Rattus norvegicus: one gene and its partners. The protein of the gene in region 1 interacts with the protein of each later gene in a biochemical or structural test. Links are inferred from orthologs where the notes say so. Each region holds a gene or a part of one and is shown on either strand. Other genes may lie near its edges.

Region 1 (3,565 bases):
AAGTAGTGGGGCTATTTCTAGAGAGGCATCATGTTCTTTCAGTGCCTAGAAGGCCCTGGCACACACAATTCCTACAGCTAGAGCAAAAGCGCGGGCATCCGCGGTGGAAAACTACAGCAGCATTACCTGTCCCGGGGCAGCTCCCAGCGGGGATCTTCAGGGAGCTCATATTCAGAGACGCCAGCTAGCATGGGGGTTCCGCTGGAGGACAGTCGCGAAGGCCGAACCAGGAGAACCCCGGAGTTCATGGATGCGCTGGAGTCAGCTGACACCTGTAAGAAAGAGTGGGGTCACCCTTCTAGCAAGGAGAGGGTGAATCCGTAGCCAGCCCCTCCCTTCCAAATCCCCACTTTTTTTTTTTTTTTAAACCATAAATAGCTCAGATTTACTTCTATTCCTAAGGATGTGGTGAAGACAAACAAATAAACAAACCAAAACCATAACAGAAGCTCTGACTAAGCAGTTTCCACCATCAAAAAGTCTTTCCAGAACCAGGCGGTGGTGGCGCACACCTTTAATCCCAGCACTTGGGAGGCTGAGGCAGGCGATCTCTAAATTCAAGGCCAGCCTGGTCTACAAAGTCAGTTCCAGGACAGCTACACTGAGAAACCTTGTCCTGAAAAACCAAAAGACAAACAAAGTCTTTCTGGGCTCCATTTTGCTTACCTAACCAATGAGCATACCAAATATACCTCTTCAAGCTTAGTGTTTCATGATATAACTGCTCTTCTCTTGTCCCTAACTCTTTGCAAAAACTCTCTGCCTTAGATTTATGGATTCCTAATCCTTACAGGCACCTTTCTGGGTCAGCGGTGTTCTGAGGAATGATTGATCTTTCACGCGTCTGCGCCTTCTAACCCATTCATTTCCTCCCACCGTGTCTCGGGTGACGGAATTAGTTTACAATGTTCCAATGTGTCCAGAAATTGGAGCCAAGTCCAGAGCGGGAGATGAGGAAAACCCAAGAGGGTAGGAAGGGGAGCAGACCCCAGAGGCCCAGGAAGAGGGGGTGAGAAAGTGCTGAACCTGCAAATCCCCCATCTACTTTCTGTTACCTGTCTGCGCAGAGGGATGCTCTTAGCCAGCTTATGCACAGCCATCTGGCTATGGAAGTCGCTCTTCTTGGTGCCGCTCTTCATCTTGTAGATGATGACGGAGCCCACCATACAGGAGATCAGGAAGGCCCCGGTGCAGTAGATAATGATTTCCAGGTACAGAGGTGAGGTCATCACGGCTGGTCTCTCTTCCAGGGCTGGGTCAGTGTGGACAGGGTGTCAGCAGGTCATGGCGGGGCTTTGCTCACAAGAGGTGTGCCCCATGAGAAACCCAGCACCTGCCCCTTTCCCCTGGGATCCTGCCATCAAAGGACCAGGTACCTTGGGACCTCCGAGGTATCCTTAAACATCCTTAAACTCACACCCCATCGAGGGTAAATGCAACCTAGACTGTCCTGGCAAGCAAGCCCAGCACTCATTAACTCCAGTGCCAACTTACTTAGCTGACCACTGGGTTGGATGGGCACCTCAGACCCTGCAGAAGCCCAATGCTGTTCACACATATTATATAGAAACAGACTGTTGTGCCCAAAAGACCAGATAGCCTCAAGACACCTGACAGAGTGGGACCCTAATGAATGCTCATCCTGTGTCTTACCAAACACCCGTCACCTGTTAGAGCAGATCAGTAAATAGCAAAACATAGGCAAAGTAAATGAATGGCTAAATATGTCTCTACATGGAAAACCATGTATTTGACAGTTAAGAAATCTATTCATGCCCCCCCCCCCCGATTCTTAAAATGTAAGGAAATGGGATGGGGCGCGGCAATCACTTTCCTATGTTCTCTATTTAGAATTCATACCGGGCTAGCTAGTTTTATGCCAACGTGACACATGCTGAAGTCATCGGAGAGGAGGAAACCTCACTGGAGAAAACACTTCCATAAGAATGGGCTATAGGGAGCTGGAGAGATGGTCCAGCAGTTAAGAGCACTGACTGCTCTTCCAGAGGTCCTGAGTTCAATTCCCAGCAACCACATGGTAGCTCACAACCATCTGTAATGGGATCTGATGCTCTCTTCTGGTGTGTCTGAAGACAGCTACAATGTACTCATATACATTAAATAAATAAATCTTAAAGGGGGGGGCTATAGGCAAGCCTGTAGGGCATTTTCTTAATTAGTAATTGATAGGGGAGAGCCCAGCCCATTGTGGGCAGTGCCATCCAGATGCTCCTGGGCGCTATAAGAAAGCAGGCTGAGCAAGCACCCCTTCCTGGCCTCTGCACTAGACCTCCTGCCTCTGGGTTCTTGCCCTGTTTCTGTTTCTGCCCCTGACTGCCCTTGATGATGAACTGGGTGATATGGAAGAGTAAGGGAAATAAATAAACTCTTTCCTTCGGTCATGGTGTTTCACCGACGCAGTGGCCATCCCAGCTAAGACACATACTCAACCCCACTTGCCAGCCAGTCTCTCTTTCTCTTCACTACAAGAAACAGAGTCTATCTGCTGGAACCTCCTTGCCCTGCAGGTATATAAGCCCTCCTCCAACAGTCTTCCCTTTAAATCCTCAGCCAGTCAAAGTGACACCCTGGGAGTCCTCCCAGCCCTGAGAGTCCTCCCCCAGCCCGACAAGGAAACAACAGAACTGACGACAGGGAAGGTATCGGTTTGTGTCTGTCCATCATCCCCGCTCTCCCTTACCCCCCATCAAGTGTCAGGAAATGAGGACTCACAGGGAGCACTGACTAAACAGACAGAGACGACGATAAAGACAGGATGCCTCTCTGCTAGCGGCAGTGTGTGAGCACTGCTGGGCAAGCGAGGTGGAAGGGAGAGTGGAGAAGGTATGCACTCAGCCGCCACAGAAGAGCAGCTCTCAGGTCTCATGCAAGCAAAACCATACTGGTCCTGTGGTCACCAGCCCACCACCCAGCAAGGCCACAGGCTCCTTTCTTCCTGGGTAATCCACTGACATAGATCTTCCCACTTGAGAGGGGCAGGCCAGGAGGGATGTCCAGAGAGGTCAAATGGGTACCACCAGGCATCCCGAATGGCTAAGACAGGCCTTTCTTAGGTAGCTCAACTTTGCTATCCCAGTGAGTCAATCAGAGTACAAAGCAGAATGAAGAAGTGTGGTCCAGCAACACTCTATGGAAGCTGTAAACTCCTATTGGCCAAGAGCATGTATCCGTGGAGAAGAGGTCCATGGCTCTTCTTGGGATTGGCTAAAGAAGATTCCATCATTCAAACCCTCTGTACCAAATGGATGAGGGAAGATGCTATACCCAAGGACGGAAGGAGCCTGTGCTGGAAAGCCCAAATGCGAGGTAAACCCAGAGCTCACACATGCATTACATCGGCCAGGGAGAGAGAGAGGCAGATATACATGTGCAAGGGGAGGCTGCTGTGTCACTTCCTGGAAATCCAGGAACTTCCCCTGCTTGTGCCTCAAAGCCTGAGCAGAAAGGGGTACACAGCAGATGGGAGCCGCCCCTTTCTGCCTCTCCCCAGCCCCGTAATGGATGCACTGCTCCCGTGGCAAAGGCAGGACCCGGAGAGGATCGG
Region 2 (4,262 bases), on another chromosome or scaffold:
CAAGGACAGGGGCTGTTTTCAGGAGCCCTGGGTGCCCTTTGCTCCTAGCCTCAGGAACCTGGGGGGCGGAGGCAAGGACCCGAACAACCCAAAGATGCGAGCCAGAACTCCTTAACAAACCCGAGTGTGGGTCCACCAGTGTGTGTGTGTGTGTGTGTGTGTGTGTGTGTGTGTGTGTGTGTGTGTGTGTGTGTGTGAGAGAGAGAGAGAGAGAGAGAGCGAGAGAGCGAGAGAGCGAGAGAGAGAGAGAGAGAGAGAGAGAGAGAGAGAAGAATCTGACTCACACCCAACTGTCATACCTGCAATATAGTTTGCGCGTCTGTGAGTCTGGATAAAGAATGAAAGAGAAACTGCCCTGTCCAGCCAAGCTCCCTACACCAACCTTTCCCTTCCAGTCTATTTTATAATGAGCCTCAAGGTTACAGAGTCCGCGCGAAAACTGCCTTCCCAGTTCCCCTCTGACCCTGTGCCTTTAGCGAGCTAGATCTCAGGCGGCCGAACGTCTCCAGGGCTGCTGCTTCCCCTCTCTGGCACCGCGTCTCCGGCGTCTCTAAAGCCGGTTTCCTAGGACTCGGGTTTCCCCGTGAAGTCCCGCGCTCAGCCCGCCTGTGCCCGGCCTGCGGCAGAGCGGCTCGGGCGTCAGGGCGGGCGCTAGGACCGGGCGGAGCGGGGCGGCCGCCGCGCTACCTTAAACCCGGCCCAATGCCGCCGCCTGCGCCACTCTGCGCGCCGGCGGGGGCTGCGCAGGAGGAGCGCTCCGCGGCCACGGCGCTGCGCGGCCCGCGCGGCGACACCTGTTCGCGGCAGCCCGGGCAGCACGCGAGCTCCGGGACGCGGTCCTCGCCCGCCGCTTGCCGCTCGCCTCATTGCAAGCCGCTGGACCTCCGCAGAGCCTCTGTAGCGTTCTGGATACTAGCTTTGGACGCCGAAAGTTTTTTTCTTCCTTCTTTTTGTTATATTATCCTTATTTTTTGGAGGAGGGACTGGGAGGAGAGATTTGTCGCCGCCGCCAACGTGAGATTTTTTTTTTCCCCTTGAAGGATTCATGCTGATGTCTGCAGAGTCGGTTAGAGAGTAAAAACAGCGCATGCCTTTCTGGAGTCAGGATCCGTAAATTCTGACGTAGCCCGAGCATCTTAAAAATCCCTGTAATATCGCCCAGGCACTTACGTTGCTATGGTCATTCTGATCTCTAAGCAAATGGAGAAACTACGGATTTTTTTCCCTTATTACGGTCGGATGGGATGAAGACCTTTCTGCCCGCTGGGAGTCGAGGCTCCGTATGTAGCGATGCATAGCTGTGTTGATCAATGTCAGTGTGTGAGTATGAAGTGGTGGCTTCTTAGACTATCAGTGGTTTGACCTTGAACCTGTGCCAGAGAAACAGCCGATTACTTTTATTTATGCATTGGATGGATTGAAGAAAAGAACCCTTTTTCCCTCTCTGTCTGCAACTGCAGCAAGGGAGGGGAGTTGGATATACCTCGCCTAGTGTCTCCTGGTTGATACCATCATTATTGTTTATTCTTGTGATTAAAAGCCGAGTCCTCTGATGGCTCCCTTAGGTGAAGTTGGGAGCTATTTCGGTGTGCAGGACGCGGTACCGTTCGGGAACGTACCGGTGTTGCCGGTGGACAGTCCGGTGTTGCTAAGTGACCACCTGGGTCAGTCCGAAGCAGGGGGGCTGCCCCGGGGACCCGCAGTCACGGACTTGGATCATTTAAAGGGGATTCTCAGGCGGAGGCAGCTGTACTGCAGGACTGGATTTCACTTAGAAATCTTCCCCAACGGTACTATCCAGGGAACCAGGAAAGACCACAGCCGATTCGGTAGGTATGCCTTTAACCCCTCAGTGTCCACGCGGTGACACGTTCAGATTATTAACTACCAGGAAGGCGGTGGTTAGACGGGGATGCTGGAAGGGCTATATTGTCATATTCATATCCTCCCACCCCCCACACCTTTGAGTATCTTGCCAGCCCAGGGAGGGAAAAAGCCTCCGGAATTGCAGATCTGCGGCTGGCATTGGTGCAACTCCACACTCAGAAGGCCCTTCTTTTCTTCTTCTTCCTCTTCTTTCTTTTTTTTTTTTAAAGGGGGGGGGTAGTGAGTATGAATATAACCCAAATCCCAAGTTTTTTCATTAGATATGCGAGAAGATAAGGTTTACGAAGTTTCTTTCTAACGGACCCATTTCCACGAGTTTAAAGCTTTAATCACTAAGAACTTTAAACTGCGTCCACTTTTCTGTAGGTAGCCGGTATCTTGCTCAAATTAAGTTTCTCTCCCTTTCCATTTCCTCTAATAAGCATTCTGCCTGAATTGTAAATTAAGCGTGCTGTTTATTCCTGGTGCTGGTCTGAAAGCCTCGCAGGCGAAGATTGCTGGCTGTTCTGTGGGGAGCACTGAGGTCGTGTTTTAGATCCGAAACATCCGGGCAGAAGCTCCTGGGGGGGGAAAAGGACCCGAGTGGGGGGCCGAAATCCCACTAGGGGTGTCGGCTCTTACATCCATTGACTCCCAACCTCTGCTTTATAATTTCCACAGCCTGTAGCCTTGTGTGGGTTTCCTGGGTGGCTCTGGTGTGAGTGTTTGCGTGTGCTTGCAAAAGCTGCAGGCTCATTTCAAAGGACATTCCGAAGATTTCGTGTTCCGAGCAGGGTACTTGTGACTCAGCACCGAAGGCTGCAGACTCAGGTGGGGACTCTGCCCACTTTCATGCTTCCACACACGTGCCTGGCGGGGCACCTTCAGTGGTGGTGCAGTGCTAAGTCAGCGAACACAGTTCTGCCTGGTGTTGGGGAGGGGGCGGGGTGTGTGGAATCTAGGTTTCCCCTTTACTTAAAAAAAGAAAAAAAAATCGACAGTTTGGGCAACCAGACTGTTGGAAGGAGTTAACTCCTGAGTGAACCCACCTGACAACACTTAGACTAGGTCGTAAAACCAAGTCCTGTGGTGATTTTTCTTCCTCATGCCTTAATGCCAGATGTTGGAGGAAATCTAAACTACGTGCTAGCTTCGTGGACTGTGGATGTTGCCCGGAGGTGAGGAAGGTCCAGGCCTGGATGAAGATAGTCCAAATTCTTGAGGCCCAGGGTTTCTCCCTTGATTCACTACTGAGGCTGGGGTCGAAAGTGAACCCAGTCAATATGGCCAACTGACTTGTGTCCCCTCGCTGCTTAAAAACAGAAAGTGTAGCTCATCGCTGCGATGATTCCTTGGAAACCTAACTATCTTCCCACCACCCTGTAAGTAAACGCCGCTGCTGGCTGTCGCGGGGAAGACTAAACTTTACTGGAGTGCTTGTCTAGCTGGCCACCTTAAGGGCTGCTACGGAGCCGGGTTTTCCGAGCAAGACAGGCAGCGGGAGGCCGGTGGTGGCGGAGATAGAGTGTCCTGGCGGTCGGGGCAGCCTGCTTGATGCCCGGGCAGCCCGCTTGATGCCCGGGGCAGCTGGAGCCGGGTCCTCCCGCGCTCCCGGCCGGCAGGTGCGGGCTCAGCCCCGGGCCCCGCGCCGCTCTGGCTCCGCGCGGTCCTAAGAGCGCTCGGGTTCTAACTCCCTTTCCATGGTGCTCCTGTGCGCCCCTCGGTACTGCGGGGACCGCTGGGGTTCAGGGGAGGAAAGACAGGGGCCGACTCCCTTCTGACCGCGTGTAGGGTGTCCGACTTTTCTTTTTTGCCCTCGTTTAGTCCCTTTGCTTTCTCTTTGTGTGTGAGTGCGGGTCTGGCGGCGCTGACAGCCGCCGCCCGAGGAAGCGCGGTGGTGGTGTGCGGTGTGGGAACCGCCGGAGGTGCGCACCGCAGCCGGAGAGTTGGTGGCGGGGACCGAGGACAGACTGGAGGTTGGAACTGAGCTTCGCGGTCTCATGCAGGGTCCCCTCCCCACCCCCCTTCTTTCCGAAGCGCGCAGCGGGGTTTGGGAGAGTCGTAGGGCTCCGCTGGGTCTGGGAGGTGGGTCGGGGGCCCCTGGCCTGGCGAGGCCACAGTCGCAGGGGAAGGGGTGGGGGTGGGGGTGACAAAGGGCCTCGCCAGGCGGTGCAGGGGGTGGCATGCTATTGTTAACCACTAGCCTAGGGAAGGCATCCGGATCTAGTCTTGCGGGAGCAGAAGGCCGGCTGCACTCGGAGCGCAGGGCTGCAGGGGCGCTGCGACCAGCCAAATCCACCTTTATTGTGTGAATTACCGGGTCCCAACCAGGGGTGCCTCACAACTGGGCCCAGGTCAAGTGATAGCCCTCACACTCCGGGCCCCTCCACGTACCT
Region 3 (4,266 bases), on another chromosome or scaffold:
GAGCAGAAGACACCTACAATATCTGATTCATTTGATATGCGCTAGGATATTCATTAACCAATGCTAGAGATAGCGTTCCTTATATGTTAAATTTTCATATTCACCAATAACAGGGTTTGAACTATACCATTGTCTGTGGATACAGCATTTGCAGCTAAGGGTGGGGGATATTCATATATATCCCTCTTTTATATTCTTCCTAACCCTTTGGTTTGAATTCTCTAGATTTTTTAAGCTGGTGAAAACAATACTTTAATTGAAAATTCTCTGTGTAAAACCACTTTCTTTTGTTAAATAGGCTGGTATGTGCTTCTTTCTCCTCGTCCTCACCGACTGGGCTTAGGGGCAGACACAAATTCTTTCGTTCCAGGGAACACTGGTCAGGATGCCAGTCTTGCTTGAGCGTCCGGTATCACGCCACTGTAGGATTCCCTCCCTCAGCTTCTATCAGGATAGAAACACTGAAGGAGGGTTACACCCATCTCCATCATGGAGAAGACCACAAGAAGATCCTAAAAAGACGCATCATGGAAGATTAGGTCTCCATTGTCACGCTGTTATCCAGAAGGAAGGTCTCAATAAGCACACCCTAAGAGGAGGACACCCACAGCACCACGGAGAAGGGCACGCCTCTGCCAGTCCTGGGCTTGGCGGTGGCGAGGACCCATTCCGCACGCCCTGTAAAGACACGCCCTACCACACCCCGCCACGCCCCTCCACCCTAGCGTCTAGTCCTTGGCCAGAGGGTCAGCGCAGGCGCGTCTGCTCTCTGGGACACAGCTTGGGGGCTGCTATATTCTGCACTCGCAGGCGAAGCGCTCCGGCGCAACTGTGCGCCATGGACAGGGAGCCTGAATGCTCCAAGCCGCCGTGAAAGAGGCACGAGTGGGCGAGAATGAGGTAGCTGGACCAAGAGATGTCCCAGGGCCCATCCTTCTCCATTTTATGTCCTCGAAAACTGCCGTGCAGCTAGGGGCAGTATCAGGGCGGGGTCTCTCCCAGCGGGTGGCGAGCGAGACCGTTAAGCTAGAACACCCGGAGACCATCCTGGCAGCTCGGGCGCCACCCGCGCCGCAATAAAAGCCTCTCGCGGCTTCCCGCCCAGCCAGACTCGCTCTGATTGGTCCCTGACCAGAGTTGGCTGGAGGCGGTGGCCCAGCTCTGCTCTCCTGCTGCCCACGGAGGGGGGCGCGCTGGGTGCTCCCGGGGCCGCTCTGTGCGCTCCACACCCAAGGCTTAGAGATTCTGGACTAGTACAGCCACACTGGGCAGAAACGACAGCCATGCGCGGTCTCCTCTGCCTGGCCTGCTTTCAGCTGGTGCTTGGCAGCACACGCCCCCCCGCCCCAGCTGTCGGCCCATCCCACCCAGCTCTCGGCGGTCCCAGCGCCTTTTGCTTGCCCCTCTCCCAGTCCACAGGGACGCCAAAGCACAAATCCTTGGGTGGGGTAGGGGCAGCAGCTGGAAGGGAGGGTGGGCACACAGAAGAATTTTCCAGGGAAAGCCAAGATGAAAATAGCCAAAATGCAATGCGCCCCCTTCCCGGATGCTTAGTATCTCTGGGCGGTGGCACAGCCCCCGCCACCCGCGACAGCGTCGCTACGGTCTTTCTCCAGAGCGCCCCATTGTTCACACTTTGCCAGGATTAGGAATATCACCCAGAGAAAGGAGAATAGGGAGAGGTGTTTTGGGCAACTGGCTACCTGCCATTCTTCGCTGGCACCGTGCAACCCTGGGCTCTCGGTGCGTGTAAAGGCACACGCGCGCGCGCCCGCGCGCGCGCACACACACACACACACACACACACACACACACACACACACACGCACACACACACGCACAACCAGGCAGCCCCGATCACGCCCTCCTCGCCCTCCGCCCCTCTGCACTTCCTCCTGTCAAAACGCGGCGCTGGACCCTCCCATCCCTCCGTGCTCCCGGCCGATGGCAGGCTTTGCAACTACCCAGCAATTTGGCAAATGAAAAACTAACGTCATTTGCACGGGGGTGCAGGAACGGCCACGGGGCCCTGCGGTGCTGCCCGTGGTTGCCCCATTTTGCAAACCGTTATTCGGGGCGGGGAAGAGGGGGGAGTGAGCGGAGGCTGCAAGCCTCACTTTATCACAGCCCGGGACATAACGGTGGGGGGAAAGCTGCCCCAGCCTTATTGTTCACTCTTCTCTAAGCTTGACAAACCCCTCTAGGTGGAAGATGAGCCTGGGGGCGACACCACCCGAGCAGCGCATCCCCGCCACCCGCCTTCGGGGAAGGGGAAAGCAGCGCTGCCCATAGCCGCAGCATCCTGATCCCATACCCCTGTCCCACCTCCACGGGCACACAAGTGGGAAGGGCGTGCGCGGTCGCCACCGAGCGGGGAGACAGCCGCGTCCAGCGCCGTCCCGGAGGGCACGGGTTTGGCTGGCCAAGCAAGGACGATGCGATGCGCTCCCTTCTCAGCTCAGTGAAAATGCTGTCTTTGCCTTACACACAAAACCACCCAAAAGAACCGTGCTTCTCGGGGAAAGGGAGGAAGGACAGGGGCAAGCGGACAATTAACAAACCCGATGTAGAATTTTAAAAATAAAATAAAATAAAAATGTACCTGCAGTTCCCAGGAAAAACAAAGTCCAGATGAGATCCTTAGTTCGCAGCATTGTAAACTGCCGGCTGGGAGGGATGTTCTGGCCGCGGTAAATTCAGTGCCTTCCCTTGCAAGCGACTGTGGACGGCGGCGGAGCAATGGACCGAGGAGCAGACAATTGCCAGGCTGGGTATGATTATTTTTGCAGAATTGTTTCTTGCCAGCCACTGCCGAGCTGCGTTCACGCGCTGAGCGGAGAATGAGTGACAGCCCCAGCCTCAGCACACTCGCAACTCGGAGATCCCTGCGCTGGCCCGGGTTGGCTTTGATGGAACTGGGGATGCGAGCGACGGGCGGGGGGCGGAGGTGAGAACCTCACTGTGTCCTTCCACCACGCCGACCACAAATAGTTCCTAACATCCAGGAGGTAAGAGACAGGGGAGGCAGATGCGGCCGCCTGCAAAACACGGCCTGGAGTCACCAAGGGAGCCGGGCTCTTTCACACAGAACCTTCCAGGCAGAAGCTGGGATTTCTTCTTTTCACCCTTTTCCTTCACTCAAGCCTTTGGAGATCCTTCTGCCCTCCAGCGTTCCTTAATCGGGAATTTGAACGTTTAAATAATTAGGAAAAAAAAAGAAAGAATTTTTAGATTCAGCTCGCTTTTCAAAGTTGTAGAGCCCCCCACACCCACCCCATGTAGTTACTAAAGTCCTTGCAATAGGAAGCAAATGGCTTCCTCCTTTTCTCCTTCTCCTTCTTCTCCTTTTCTTCCTCCTCCTCCTCCTCTTCTCCTCCTTTCCCTCATCCTCTTCTTCCTCTTCTTCCTCTTCTTCCTCTTCCTCCTCCTCCTCACCCTCTTCCTCCTCTTCCTCCTCTTCCTCCTAAGTGAAGGAAATTGGAAATTTGGAGAGAAATGAGGGTTGTGGAGGTTTGCTTTGTTGTTTGTTTTCTCTTACCTATGAAGTTTACCTTCCCACAGAGGGAGCAACTCACAGCAGCACAACTCAGATCTCAGAAGTGGGGGGGGGTGCGGGGGGGCAGTTAGAAGAAAATGCAGAGACATTTAGAAGTAGTATTCAGAAATTACCAGAAACTGCTTGCAAGTATTGGAATCCTCTCTTCCTCTCCCTCCACTGCTGCCCTGGCTTTTCGGTGTGTATTACGGCACAGGAGCAAGAGCAAGAATTCTCCTTCAGCAGGAGAGAGACCCCTATTCTTAAGGCTATGAAAAATCCAGTGTAACTGAGATGTCAAGGCAAAGACTTCCACTAATCAAACAGCTGTGTCTGTGAAAAGAGGGGATGAGAACAGAGTGAAATCAACACCTTTAGCACCTGAACAGGACTTGAGTTGTGCAGGAAATATAGGTGAGGGTGGCCTTGCTCAGAGAAGCGGCTCTGACAGAGGAAAGCACCACTTCATGCATAATCCCAAGCCCTGCGATTTCCTTTAAAGGGCAGGCTCCTTGAAACCCCACCTTCTGCTAGCTGCCCAATCACCACCAAGCTCTTCTTTCTGCTGTATAATGTACCTAGTAGGTACTATCATACGTTGGGGGTTCCAGGGATTCACGAGAAGTATTCTGTCTCCCAGGAATCGTTCATGTTCACTTTTATAATTTGTAACTTATGCTGATTATAAACAATTTTTAAAAATACAGAAAAGTATAAAAGCTCAAGGAATA

What was found.
Region 2: the proteins of Fgfr1 (region 1) and Fgf9 interact in a biophysical measurement, tested with the Homo sapiens proteins (2 studies listed by BioGRID and IntAct, with this or other methods). The link is inferred for Rattus norvegicus from reciprocal best matches to the Homo sapiens genes FGFR1 and FGF9.
Region 3: the proteins of Fgfr1 (region 1) and Ncam1 form a complex in vitro, tested with the Homo sapiens proteins (2 studies listed by BioGRID and IntAct). The link is inferred for Rattus norvegicus from reciprocal best matches to the Homo sapiens genes FGFR1 and NCAM1.

What each region holds. Positions count from the first base shown.
Region 1 is NC_086034.1:73,201,308-73,204,872, forward strand, and holds part of Fgfr1 (fibroblast growth factor receptor 1 precursor), read right to left. Parts: intron 1,253-3,565; coding exon 1,050-1,252; coding exon of another isoform or gene 1,049-1,049; intron 273-1,048; coding exon 127-272; intron 1-126. UniProt on the Homo sapiens protein: Tyrosine-protein kinase that acts as a cell-surface receptor for fibroblast growth factors and plays an essential role in the regulation of embryonic development, cell proliferation, differentiation and migration.
Region 2 is NC_086033.1:36,325,958-36,330,219, forward strand, and holds the start of Fgf9 (fibroblast growth factor 9), read left to right. Parts: upstream 1-1,400; 5' UTR 1,401-1,552; coding exon 1,553-1,829; intron 1,830-4,262.
Region 3 is NC_086026.1:59,059,119-59,063,384, forward strand, and holds the start of Ncam1 (neural cell adhesion molecule 1 isoform 1 precursor), read right to left. Parts: upstream 2,863-4,266; 5' UTR 2,655-2,862; coding exon 2,603-2,654; intron 1-2,602.